Caenorhabditis elegans: one gene and its partner. The protein of the gene in region 2 purifies or fractionates together with the protein of the main gene of each other region. This does not show direct contact. Each region holds a gene or a part of one and is shown on either strand. Other genes may lie near its edges. The genes, in order: srsx-14 and sor-1.

The links.
Region 1: the proteins of sor-1 (region 2) and srsx-14 fractionate together in Caenorhabditis elegans (co-fractionation; one large-scale study listed by BioGRID). This does not show direct contact.

The regions. Positions count from the first base shown.
Region 1 is NC_003282.8:5,624,221-5,629,258, reverse strand, and holds srsx-14 (G-protein coupled receptors family 1 profile domain-containing protein), read left to right. Parts: upstream 1-2,102; coding exon 2,103-2,241; intron 2,242-2,268; exon of another isoform or gene 2,269-2,289; intron 2,290-2,683; coding exon 2,684-2,764; intron 2,765-2,818; coding exon 2,819-3,072; intron 3,073-3,136; exon of another isoform or gene 3,137-3,160; intron 3,161-3,307; exon of another isoform or gene 3,308-3,328; intron 3,329-3,624; coding exon 3,625-3,918; intron 3,919-3,965; exon of another isoform or gene 3,966-3,986; intron 3,987-4,179; coding exon 4,180-4,404; downstream 4,405-5,038. Other genes in the region: srd-12 (G_PROTEIN_RECEP_F1_2 domain-containing protein), read left to right, coding at 192-467.
Region 2 is NC_003281.10:8,416,362-8,423,185, reverse strand, and holds sor-1 (Sop-2-related protein 1), read right to left. Parts: upstream 5,019-6,824; coding exon 5,013-5,018; intron 3,982-5,012; coding exon 3,821-3,981; intron 3,608-3,820; coding exon 2,329-3,607; intron 2,274-2,328; coding exon 1,857-2,273; intron 1,394-1,856; coding exon 866-1,393; intron 813-865; coding exon 762-812; 3' UTR 532-761; downstream 1-531. UniProt on the Caenorhabditis elegans protein: Acts synergistically with sop-2 to maintain the transcriptionally repressive state of homeotic genes throughout development. Not required to initiate repression, but to maintain it during later stages of development.

The DNA of each region.
Region 1 (5,038 bases), on a different chromosome or scaffold from region 2:
CTACCTATCACCTACCTTCTGCACTGTTATGAAAACTCCGGTATTTGGTTTCACTTGCTATATCAATATGAAAGTTCAAATAAAAGTCGTGAACGAATGAAGTAAAACAAATCAAGAATTTATATGGAAATAGTGAAACAGAAAAAAAAATTTCAAGTTTTTTTCCCCAAAAAATTAAATCAAGCTTTCAGGCTTTAACCTATCAAGCAGCAATTCCTGGATTCTACTTGTTCAGTATTTACTCATATGCCATTGGACAATTTGGAATCTACAATCATCCAGCTCTTGAATATTTCACATTTTCCTCATTTCTTCTGATTCCATTTTTATCGCCTCTTGCCTCTTTCATTTTCGTAACTCCCTATCGACAATTTATCAAGCTAAAGCTGTTTAGAATTGTTCAAATTGAACCGACGGAAACATCGAATACTCCTCAAAACTATACAAGTATTCATATTATTGGATAATGAGTTTTACTCAAACATTTTAATAAGTCTAATAAATTTATATTTCTAGTTTGTAACAAAACAAGCAATTTACAGATATATAAAACCTACCATTCCTGACTAAAAAACAATGCTTTCAACGGAAGTTTCGAGGAAGTGGGTCACAAATAAATTGGCTCCTGATGGGCGTAAAATTCACAACATTTTTTTTAAATACTGTTTCACTTGTAGCATTTAATTTCTCTAATGCGCAATGATTCAATAAACCTAGTGAAAGGAGGGGAGGAGCACTATGAAACTATGAAGTTATGAACTTCGGTTATAATTATAGAGCTATGCTGCAGATTATTTGTTCCGGAATTTGCGTCTTGGAGAACACAGTTGTTTTTTTTTCAATTTTTTTGCATAGAGATTTTCCCAAATTAATTAATTTTTCTTTCTTTTTTCCGTATCAATATTTTTTAAGATTTCCTCTTCAAATGTAGTGACGTAAGTTCTTTCAATAAAATATCAAAAACCTTCTTAAAAATAGTTCGATCATCTTTAAAAAAACGTGCTTATTTCCAGCATTTCGTGATTTTATTTATTTTTGCCTATTTTGCAAGAAATTGGATAAAGTACAAAGATTAAAATCACAAAATGAATCACGCGTTGATTATATTCATGAATATATATTTTACTCAATTTTCGGCTGTCTGCATAGAGTTCAGTGTATGATTCCAAAATTTGTACGCTCGGAATTATATTTAGATTTGAATTATCTTTTTTTCTATTAATTTCAAAGTAAAGTTAATTTTTTTAAATTTTTTAAATAGTGTGCCTCTAACAGTTGCCGCAATTTCGGAACATTTAAATTTCTGAATACAAGTGTTTTTTTTTTCAAAAATCGTCTTTGATTTCAATAGGCCTTTAACAAAAAAATACACAATAATAACTGAATAAGGGGAGAACTCAACAGGATCAATAGAAATTTTTGCGAAAACATTAGTGAATCTCTTTTCAAGTTAATTGAAATAAATTTAGTGATTTTCTGTTTTTACTATTCTACTTTATGATTTCCTTGAAACCGCAATAATTAAAAAAAATTCCCAGTTAAACTTTTTTTCAAAGTTGAACTGATATGAAATCAATCATGAAAAACTTTCCAGTAAAAGCAATTCAAACAAATTTTAAATTAACAACGCCCACCCAACAAGTTTTCGATTTTTTCTAAAATAGCTGCTGAACGTTTATCAGACTTTTTCGGTGTTCTAAGTTTTCTACTAAGTTTTTTGAAATCTTTATGATGAAAGTATTTGTCTTCTAGTTCATTTGAATTTATTTTTATGAGAGAGAGTAAAAAAGGAAGATTAAAATAGATTTTTCTTTTTCGCTTTGAAAAACATTTGAAACCGTAAAAAAAATTGAAATATATTTTTTTGTTATGCCATACTTTTTCAGAAAAGAAAATTGCAAGAATTTTATGACAGTGTAAATTTAATTTTGTAAATATAATAATTTAATATGAAACCTGACAACTTTCAGAACTTCCTGCTCTCTCGGATTTCACTTATTTTGGATGGAATCACATTTCCAATCAACCTTATTTAATTTGTCTCGCTTTTTTTGAAATGCTCATTTTCAATTAATGAAACATAATTTTTTTTTAGAAAAAATATGATATCAGAGGACACTTATCGAATTCATCGTATTATTATTTATTGTTTTGTTTTATTTTTGGAAGTGTTTGGACTATTTGGGAATATTAATTTGGTAGTTTTAACAATTAGAAAAAAGTCGTTAAGGACTAAATATGGTGAGTTTTCAGAGTTTCTAGATCTTTAAACAAGATAGGAAGAAATTATTAAAACGGTTTCATGTGCTAGCTGATAAAACATTTTTGAAACAGTAAAATATTTTGAAGTTGCATTTTAATTTTTTGAAGAAAAAAAATTTGATGGATAAATGTAACTTTTTTATTTTTTTCAGGAAATAATTTCTGCAAACTATAAAAAATCAATCCAAAATGAAATTGAAAATAAAGTTGTGACGAGACGATTCGAAATATAAATATTAAAAAGATTAAAAAGGATTAAAGGACGATCCGTTCTTCAAGCGCTATGCACTGCGTAATTCAACGAATAAAACTTATGTTTGGCAAAACAAACTTTGGTATCAAAAAGTTCAAATGTTTCATTATTTTTTTTTTAAATACATTCACAAGAGTTTATATTTCATTTAATTTAAGCCCTTACCAGGTTGCATTTTGGGAATTCTTGCCACATTGCACACACTTTGTCTTCTATATGAACTTGTGGATATGAGTTTCAGCGTAGCTGGTAAGATTGTATTTTTATAGTTTCTAAATAATTGAAAATTAATTCCTGCTTCAGCTTCGTATTATTATTACAAAATTGACCGTCAAACATGCTTCCTTGTAATTTTTCCATACATTTTTCTTTATTCAATGCAAACTGGTACAATATGGGTTTTATCAGTAGATTTATTGATAACAATTTTATATCCTATTAAAAGTCGGAACTTTCACGTTCCCGTGTACTTTGTGATCTTATTTTTGTTACCAGTTGCATATGGAGCTATTTTTGTAGGATTTGGATTTATGTATCTCGTTGAGGAAGCTTTGCCGGTAAGTTTTTTTTTCCTATCATGTTTCAACAAGTTTTTAACTCTGTCTAAAATAATAAAAACAATATTGATACTCGTCGAATCGCATACATTATGATTACCCATTTTTGAATGACAAAACTTGCAAAAAATTAATTGAAGAATAATTTAAACTTGAAATTCGGTAACTTTAAAACAATTTTTAACGAAATGTTTCACTATGCTTTCAAAATAAACTTGTTACTATAAAAACACAATTGTTCGAGCAAACACTTTTCACTCAATTTTCTTCACTGTGATCCGTTTTTTAAAGATCCAAGTAATCCAGATCCTTCGGAAAAGTACCGTTTTAGAACAGGTTTATGTATAAAATATTTTTGCCAACTGGCATGCCAATTAAACAATTGCCACGACTTAAGCAACACAATCATGATCGTTCAAATAGCGTAAGAAAAATATCAAGTCAGTTCCAATGAGCTTTTCAATCGTTGACTTTACTATTTTTATAGAGTTTCAAAAATGAAATTTGTTCATAATTTCATATACTTATAGATTAAAAATTGTTCCATTTCAGATGTGCAATCCACCATCGGCTCTTCATCCAATTGTCAGATCCTATTGGTATTATGTTATGACGGCTTTCTCCGTATTAACTGTAATTTTCTATGTTTCTGCGTTTGCTCTTATCTATTTCAAGGGCCGCCGTGAGAATACAGATCTTCGATTTATTGAGAGAAAAGCCCTGAACACACTGAAATATTTGATACTTTTATTTCTAATGTTTCGATTTATCACTATTACGATTACAAGTATTATGATTGCAATTAGGATTGATCAGGAAGTTGTCGAAATGGTACAAAACTATAATGTTAGTTTTTGAATATTCATTGAATATTTGCTTATTTCTTGTCGAGTTTTCTTGCGATTATAACTGGATTACACTGTTTAATTTGATTCAACATTTCAAAACATATTGCAACAGGCTATGTTTCAAAAAACAATTTCAAAAAAAAATCACAGACTTTAAAAGTGTTAGAAATTATATTTAGTTTCCCTGAGGACCTTAAATTTAACATTATTTTTGAACATACTTCCACACAGACAAGATGCAAAATATATTATTTTTCAGGTTCTCGCGGTGGTCGTTGCTTATTCACAGAATGCTTATATTTGCTACTACAGAAGTTCGGAGTATCGAAGACTGCTCAGCGAGCAAATTTCAAAGATTCATCCAAAATTGGGAGCACTTTTACCAAAATTATCAAATGAGTCAAGTAGTATTGTAGGACAACGTTGGCGAAACTCTACTGTATCAATTGGTCAGACAAAAAAGATTAAAGACAACAGACACTAAAGAAGATATATCACAAATCCATTTTAAATTTATTTCTTGAATTTTTCTTTGAATTGACATTTTTATTTGAATTGAAATTCAAATTTCAATACGACTTCAAATTCTGATACATTTTTCAGAGAATTGGAAAATTTCAATTACTGTTTCATGACATGGTTTTACTGAACTGTACTGTGAGGTTAATACATGCATGATCGAAGTACATAAATAGTGCGGAACAATAATCTCGGGTTTTTTTTGATTATTTGTTATTTGATTACTCGGGAAAAAATTTCAATTAAAAAAACATACATTTCTCTATTTTTGAATGAGTTGCTATCTGTTCTTCTGGTAAAATTCAACGTTTTTCTGATAAATAAATAGGGGGGGGGGGGGGGGGTTTCGAGTATTTTTTATGAAGAATTTTCCGATTTTCTAAGAAAACCTATCTTTTTTCCTGACTTTTGTATAAAATTAACCAAAAATTAAACGTTTGAAGAAATTGAAGAAATTACTGCTGTCAATACTCCGTTGATTGGCTTTATCAGCTGTTAAAAACAGTATTGTGTTCTCCGTCTTTACAATAACTTATGGGAACAGAAACCATGTCATAAACTTATTTTGAATTACATAGAATCTAAATAGTGCATTAAAC
Region 2 (6,824 bases):
GGTTAACCACAATAGCAAAATGTTCAAGTTGATCGACGTTACCTGAAAATTCTAATGAAAAGTTTGTTCTGCAAGATTGTATAAGAATTTAAGTTTTGCCAAAAAAAAGTTTACCAATTTTTGCTGACTATCAGAATTAGGGATCTGGGAATAAATGAAATACTACTGCTAACTTCTGTAAGCTTAGTTATAAATTATCTGGATTGACAAATCAACGTGTGCTATCTACAAAAGGAAGTACACAGATTTTATGAATCTGCGGATTTTATGTGATCTGCCAATATTTTTGGAATTATTGTATTATATCGATCAATTCGTAGTAACCAAAAAATCGACAAATTGAAAAAAGAAACTTTTTTGCGTGCTTAGTTGGTTATTGGTGGAAACATTCTGATTGGCGCGGTAGTTCAAAATTTAAATTTTCACAACCATCCGGTTGAAAGTATATTGGTGCTGGTCCAATTATAAAATTGCTTCATTGCTACTTGCTTTCTTAAATACTGTTCTTGTTTTCAGACGCTTCGCATAACGATTCTCCAAATAAAATGTTTATTGTGTGATGATTGTGTAAAACAGACAAAAAAAGAAACTAACTCATCTAAAAATAGGTAAATGAGAGCAAAGTTTTAAGATCACTACTACTAGAAGCGTAAAAAATAAGACAAAAGCAAAAACCCGACAGAGGAAAAAAACGGAAGAGGTACACAAAATATGGTTTGGTAACAAACATAATTATTTACAAATTTATATTGAATTAAAATTTATGTTGGATTTAAAGTTGGTGGTTGTGCTGTAGAAGTCGTTGGTCGGTTCTGTAAAAAGTTGAATTTAAAATAATTCCAAAATTCCTAGAAAATTAACATACCGATGCTGGAGAACTGGTCGCTGTTGCAGCATTTGTTGGACTGGTAGATGAAGCTTCAGAAGATGTGGAAGAGTTTCCCATGCTTGGTGGGCGTTGACTATGCATTCGATGTATATGATTCATAACCTGATCAATTGATTTCTTCTTTCTATCAACAACTGGTCTTCCGATGTCTAATGAAGATGGTAGAAGTATTCTTGGAAACTCATTGTTTAGTGGCAAATCCCACTGCATAATTCTATAGAATGTCTTCCATTTTTCCACATTTGACTCGTCGGATTGAAGTTCCAAAAGGTACAATTGCAATTGATCACTGTGCGACATTCGATGAATCTTGACATCTGCCTCATCGCATCGTCTTCGAGACAAATACATATTGTAATCAGCAATTGAAAGAATTTTATTGAAGTGTGGCATTGGATCACCAAGGAAGTAGAATTCGAGGAAACTTGCTGGATCAGCCTGTCGAGAATTGCACAGAAGACGATACTCGTTGATAGCTTTTATTGTGTTGCTCACATTCAATCTCTGAAAACTTTAATTTAATTTTGAAACTTTATCAATGATTTTGAACAAAACTGGCACTTATACGAAACCCTGCATTTACTGAGAATTCATTGAAGGTGAAGTAGTAAGTTTGTTGAATGAATGAATTTTGATTGAATGCATGTCAAACTATTCAGCTTGACCAAAAATACTCTGTCAAAGTTTTGATAAAGTGAGAATTTTTGAAAAACTTAAGGGCTTTTGAGGAATTCAAGACTTTGATACGTGTTCAAACTACTACAACTTCACCTTAATAGATGTTTAACTATCTCTTTAAAAAATCAACCAAAATAATGAGTTTGATGTCAAAAGCAATTCTCAAGGGTAAGATTTCCTGCCAGAAACATCAATTTTAACAATCTACATAGGCGGTAGGCAGGCACAAAGATTTGAAACCGTGCTTGCCTATTATTGAAGATTTATTAAATTTAAGAGTATAACTTACTCCTGATTTTTCATATGGCGGGAAGTGCCATGGAATGATTGAATTGGTGAGCGTCGCTGGTGATGCAACAGTCACATATGTATTGTTATATGTCTGCTTAGAATCTGGCCTAAAGTTGCACGGATCCGGTGCTCCAGGTCTCAAAAACTGCAGTTCTCCTTGGAGAGCTCGATGTGGTGGCTGTGGAGGAGGTGGTCGAGGTGGGTTCAGTTGTGCCATATTCATCGCCATTGCTTCAATCTTCACGAGGCGATTGCGTACTTCTTCAGACGGCTGCACAGATGAAGTATTCAGAATTCGAGCTCTTTGGTTTGAATTTGGAAGTTGCATATATGGATGTGCATAACGCTGTCCATCTGGTCCAATCATAAATTGCGGTGAACGTTGGAATTGTGGAGGTACGCCTTGTTGACGATTCTGGAAATTAAAGTATAAAAAATTGAACTAATTTTCCAGGTTTCTGAAAACCTACCTGTTGTGGTGGCAGAATACCAGGTGGATATGCTGGTGGAGGCAATCTTTGCTGTCCTTGTGGTGGCATTGGTGGCATGTTCATGTACTGTTGAGGAAGTATTTGCTCTCGATCAATTTTTTCAATTTCATTCTGGACCCTTTGATACGCCTTTGCCAATGTGAACTTCTTGTTCATAGTCATTGTCGGACTTTTACAAGATTGGGCATTGATTTCCTGTAGCTGTTGAACAAGTTCATTTCTTCTCTTTATTCTTTGAACGCTGGCAATGCAGATCGAATGGAAGATGCTCTCCAGATCACTCGGTCTCATTTTTTGAACTTCAGAAATTGGTTTTCGAGTGTACCCAGCAACTGCACGGATTTTCGCTTCAAATGGAACATTTTTTTCAAGTTTGAGTGTAACTTGAGGACAAGCCATCGGAGGAGCATTTCCAGTGCCAGGTGGTAAATCATGATAGGAAATCATATTAGTACGAGATCCACGAGCAACTTGTCTTTTCTGTTGAGAAGTTCCAGGAATTTGTTGCTGTTGAGATGGTCCCTCAATTGAGGCTTGTGGGACTTGTGGAGAAGGTTGTTCAGCTTCAAATGAAGCTTCTTCACTTGGTGCTTCTACAGTTAGCGAAGGCATTTCATCATCATCCATCAGTGTTTCATCTTCTTCTGGCAATGCAACAGGAGTTTCAATCTTGATTACAACCGGGGCAGGAGCAACTGGAGCATTTATAGCCCTCATCAATTCTGACGGTCCAGCTGGTTCACGCACTGTTTCCATTTCCTTCCGATTTGCCTCACTGGAGCATGACGGAGAGCTAGTTGAAGGTACACTCGAGCTACTTTGTCCATCATTCATTGCTTGATGTTGTTGGTGATACTCTTGATATTGTTGATATTGCCCATGTTTTCTTGCTTTCTCTTCTTCTTCCTCTTGCTTCATAATTTTCGCTTTCATTGACTCCGAAGGCACAAGCTTCATCTCCAAAAAGAACTTGTCAGATCCCTCGTTGCTCTGTTTATATGCAATATCACGGAGAACTGCATCGGGTTTCTGAAGATGAAGGCGCTTTCCACCATGCAACTCTAGTTGTACGTAGTCTGTGTCGATCTCTAACAACTTGACGAGATCCTCGATCAGCTTGTCAACACGAGCTCGTGAATCACAAAGAAGTACATATTCAGGCCCGTCATCAAGTGGGCCATATTCTGTGCAAAGACTTGTGACGTGGAGGCATAAGGTGATGTAGTCATCTCTTCCATATTTGGCGTTCAGTGCTTTTCTGGAAATTGGGAAATTAAAGTTATTTTTCTAAATCTTATCTTCATGTATGTTTCTGCAATTTTTTATGTTCTATCTCAATAAACTTATATTTAAAGGTTCAACTAACTCTAAAATCGTTTTTTTTTATTTGCACATATATTTTGGCAGACCAATAATAATAGAAAACTACAATTTCTTAGGCTACAAAAAAAAGTAAAATTGTAAAGCTTACTCATAAGATTCAGGAGTCTGATTGTTCACATTCAACACGTAATCGCTCAATGCTCGGGGGATCACAAATTGTGGCCCTTGAAATTTGTGCTTGATAGAGTGTGGATGTGGCTCCTCCGGGACTTTTTCTGTAGACGAAGACGCAGGTTCACTCGACATTATCTGAAAATTCTTCTGTTGAAGTGAGCGAGAGAAAGATTATACGAAGGATTACATCAGAACGGTGAAAAAGAAAACGAATCCATTTGGGAGATTTAAGGATGGAGGGGGGACGGATTAGACAGTGTAAGGGAGCAGAGAAAAAGAGAAAGAAATCCCTCTTCATCACTTATTTATTGGATTCTTTTCTCGCGGTTTATGGGGTTTCAAGTCGGAACGGTGAGAACAAGTCGTAGTTATGAACGAGAGACAAAAAAGAATTCAAAGGGCGCCGCTGAGAGAAGTGTACACCGTAATCAGTATGCAAACACTAATATTGTTGCTCTTTTCAGTAAGATTTTGATCAAGATAGAGATAACATCATTTTCTTAAAAGCTCAGAAACCTTTTAGAAACGATTAAGGAGAACATCTTCCAAATTTAAAAGCGCAATATTTGGAGGTCAAACATATGCTCTTTGAAATGTTCAGCTAAAAGTTATCAGCTAAATTTCACGGGTAGTCTGTGAGCGCCCTCTTCATTTGATCTCCAGAAATTTCGCCAATTTTTTTTCCATACTGTAGATCAGAAGAAGAGGGAAAACTCTAAACATAGATGCTACTTCGGAACAATAAACACTTAACACTTATGAGAAAGAATTACAAATTTTTCAGGAATAAGCGTTTTGAAAGTTAAAAAAAACTGAAATTTGCAAAATTGACGAATTTTACGAGAATATCTTCCAAAATTCAAAAAAAAACATATAAAATCAAATTTAAAAAAATCTAGATATTAAATTATTTGAGTTTTGGAAAAAGGATATATCAAAAAATACACAAATCACTCTATGTTTTTTATGATGTCAGCTCTGGCGTCAGTAGTGACTGATGTTTTGTTTATTAGAAAAAGAGAACTTAATGAAAAAAAAACGAAAATTTATAATTATAAAGATGGGCACATGCGGGTCACAGCTTTTCAGAAGGTGAAGCACAAAGGAAAGTATGAAGATGCATGAGAAATTGTGAAAAGAGAATTAAACATTTATCCGAAACTTACCAACATCAATCAAAATAGAAATTTAGCATGTTTCCTAACTGGCCGCCGCCGCCACCGCCGCCTTCAGAAAAATCAATAATTCAATTGTTACAGTAAAAGTACAAGTCATGATGGGGTCATACATTGATTAGATATCATGCAACTATACTTTTTCATCTTAACAACTGAAAAACTATATGGACAGGAGAGAACAAAGTTTGGAAAATGGACAGACGAAGGAAGGGGAGAAAGGAGAAGAGGACTGGCTACAGAACGAAACACAAGGGGCAAGAGAATCTGCAGAAAGGCAGTCACAGAGAAATATTCCTTGGAAACAAGAGGGTCTAGAGAAATGAGGCAGATACACAACTAATTCTGCATCGACCAATCGGAGGCCATCGACACGCCTCCTTGTTGTTGAGCCTTTCACGAAAGGGCGGGGTGGGTAGTGTCAGAGATACAGTAATCCTTTTCGCCTGCCTTCCATCGCATTTAACGACTATCGACAAAGAGAGATGAGGACAAGAGATGCAGAGAAAAAGAGTGAACGAGGGTGTGTGCGCTTTCTTGAATGACACATTCAAGAGACAACACTGGAAGTTAGACAGTGGGTGAAATGAAGAGAGCAGTCTTCTCATCGGACCCTGTGGTGCTCTCGGAGCCCGCTGTGGAACTTGCCGCCAAATCGATCAATCATAGAATTATATGCTCGTGTGTGAGTGTGTGAGTGTGTGTGTGTGTGTGTGTGTGTATACTGAAGGATCCTCTAAAAGCTGTCAGCGACGGCGGGACGTAAACAATTAAGCAGAGGGTGCGAGATACCGTATTCGTTGACTCCGCCCATTTTATCTCTCTAGCACAACACTATTTTCATCTTTCTCTCGTTTCGGTTTATGTGTGTGTGTGAGTGAGTGTGTATATGTGTAAATAGATGCTTACGAAACGAAGAGAAAAAGAAAGAGAGCGGCGGAAAGGACGGCACCAGGCGCGCGCGCATATATTTTTATGTTGAGGGAAAAGAGAAAAAAAAAGAACAGAGAGAGAGAAAGAGAAAATCGAGATGGACGGCCCAGTGTCCCCCCGCCACGAATAATTGAATGAAAGCGCAATGGAGGGGAATACGGTAATTAGGTTAAAGAGATATGTTCCCCCGTTTGATGGGTTTTCAAGTGGCGGAAGAGACGTGTCCTTCATCCGGAGGATTACTGTAGAATAATTACTGAAATTGGAGTACCATGGAGTTAATGAGCTGGAAATTTTTGATTTTGATTAAAGAGCAGCTCCAAAATGGAGGCAAAGTCTTAAGATCTAGCAATTAGTAAATCTTAGAAAATACAATTTATGGAACAACTAAATATAGTAGGAATGGACAACAACCGGAAGTTACCTAACTTGACCAGCTGAAAACTTTCGGCTACTTTCCTGATACTGGTTAAAGTTTTGGCATTGGTCAAACAAATATATTGCCCTTATATTCTGAAAAATAATATGAGAAAAAGGTTCGCTTCTTTCAGGCTCTCTGAATATATTTTTCATAATAAAATAAAATTTCAAATTGGTATTGTCAATTTCCAAAGTTGCCGAACATCAAAAAATGTTGGCAATCGGCAACTTTTCCCTTACTGTACAAGTACGGTAGATTAACTTCTGAAGATTATTCATTACGACGGGAAACGTAAACAATTGACTCATCGGGTGTCCGATATCAGTAAATGACGTTGAGAGATTGAATGATGTTTGATATGATGAAGAGAGCACGATATACGTTACAACTTGGTAACCAATATCAAAGAAACTAACTTTGAGTTTATTCAAGGATAACTTTATTCTCAA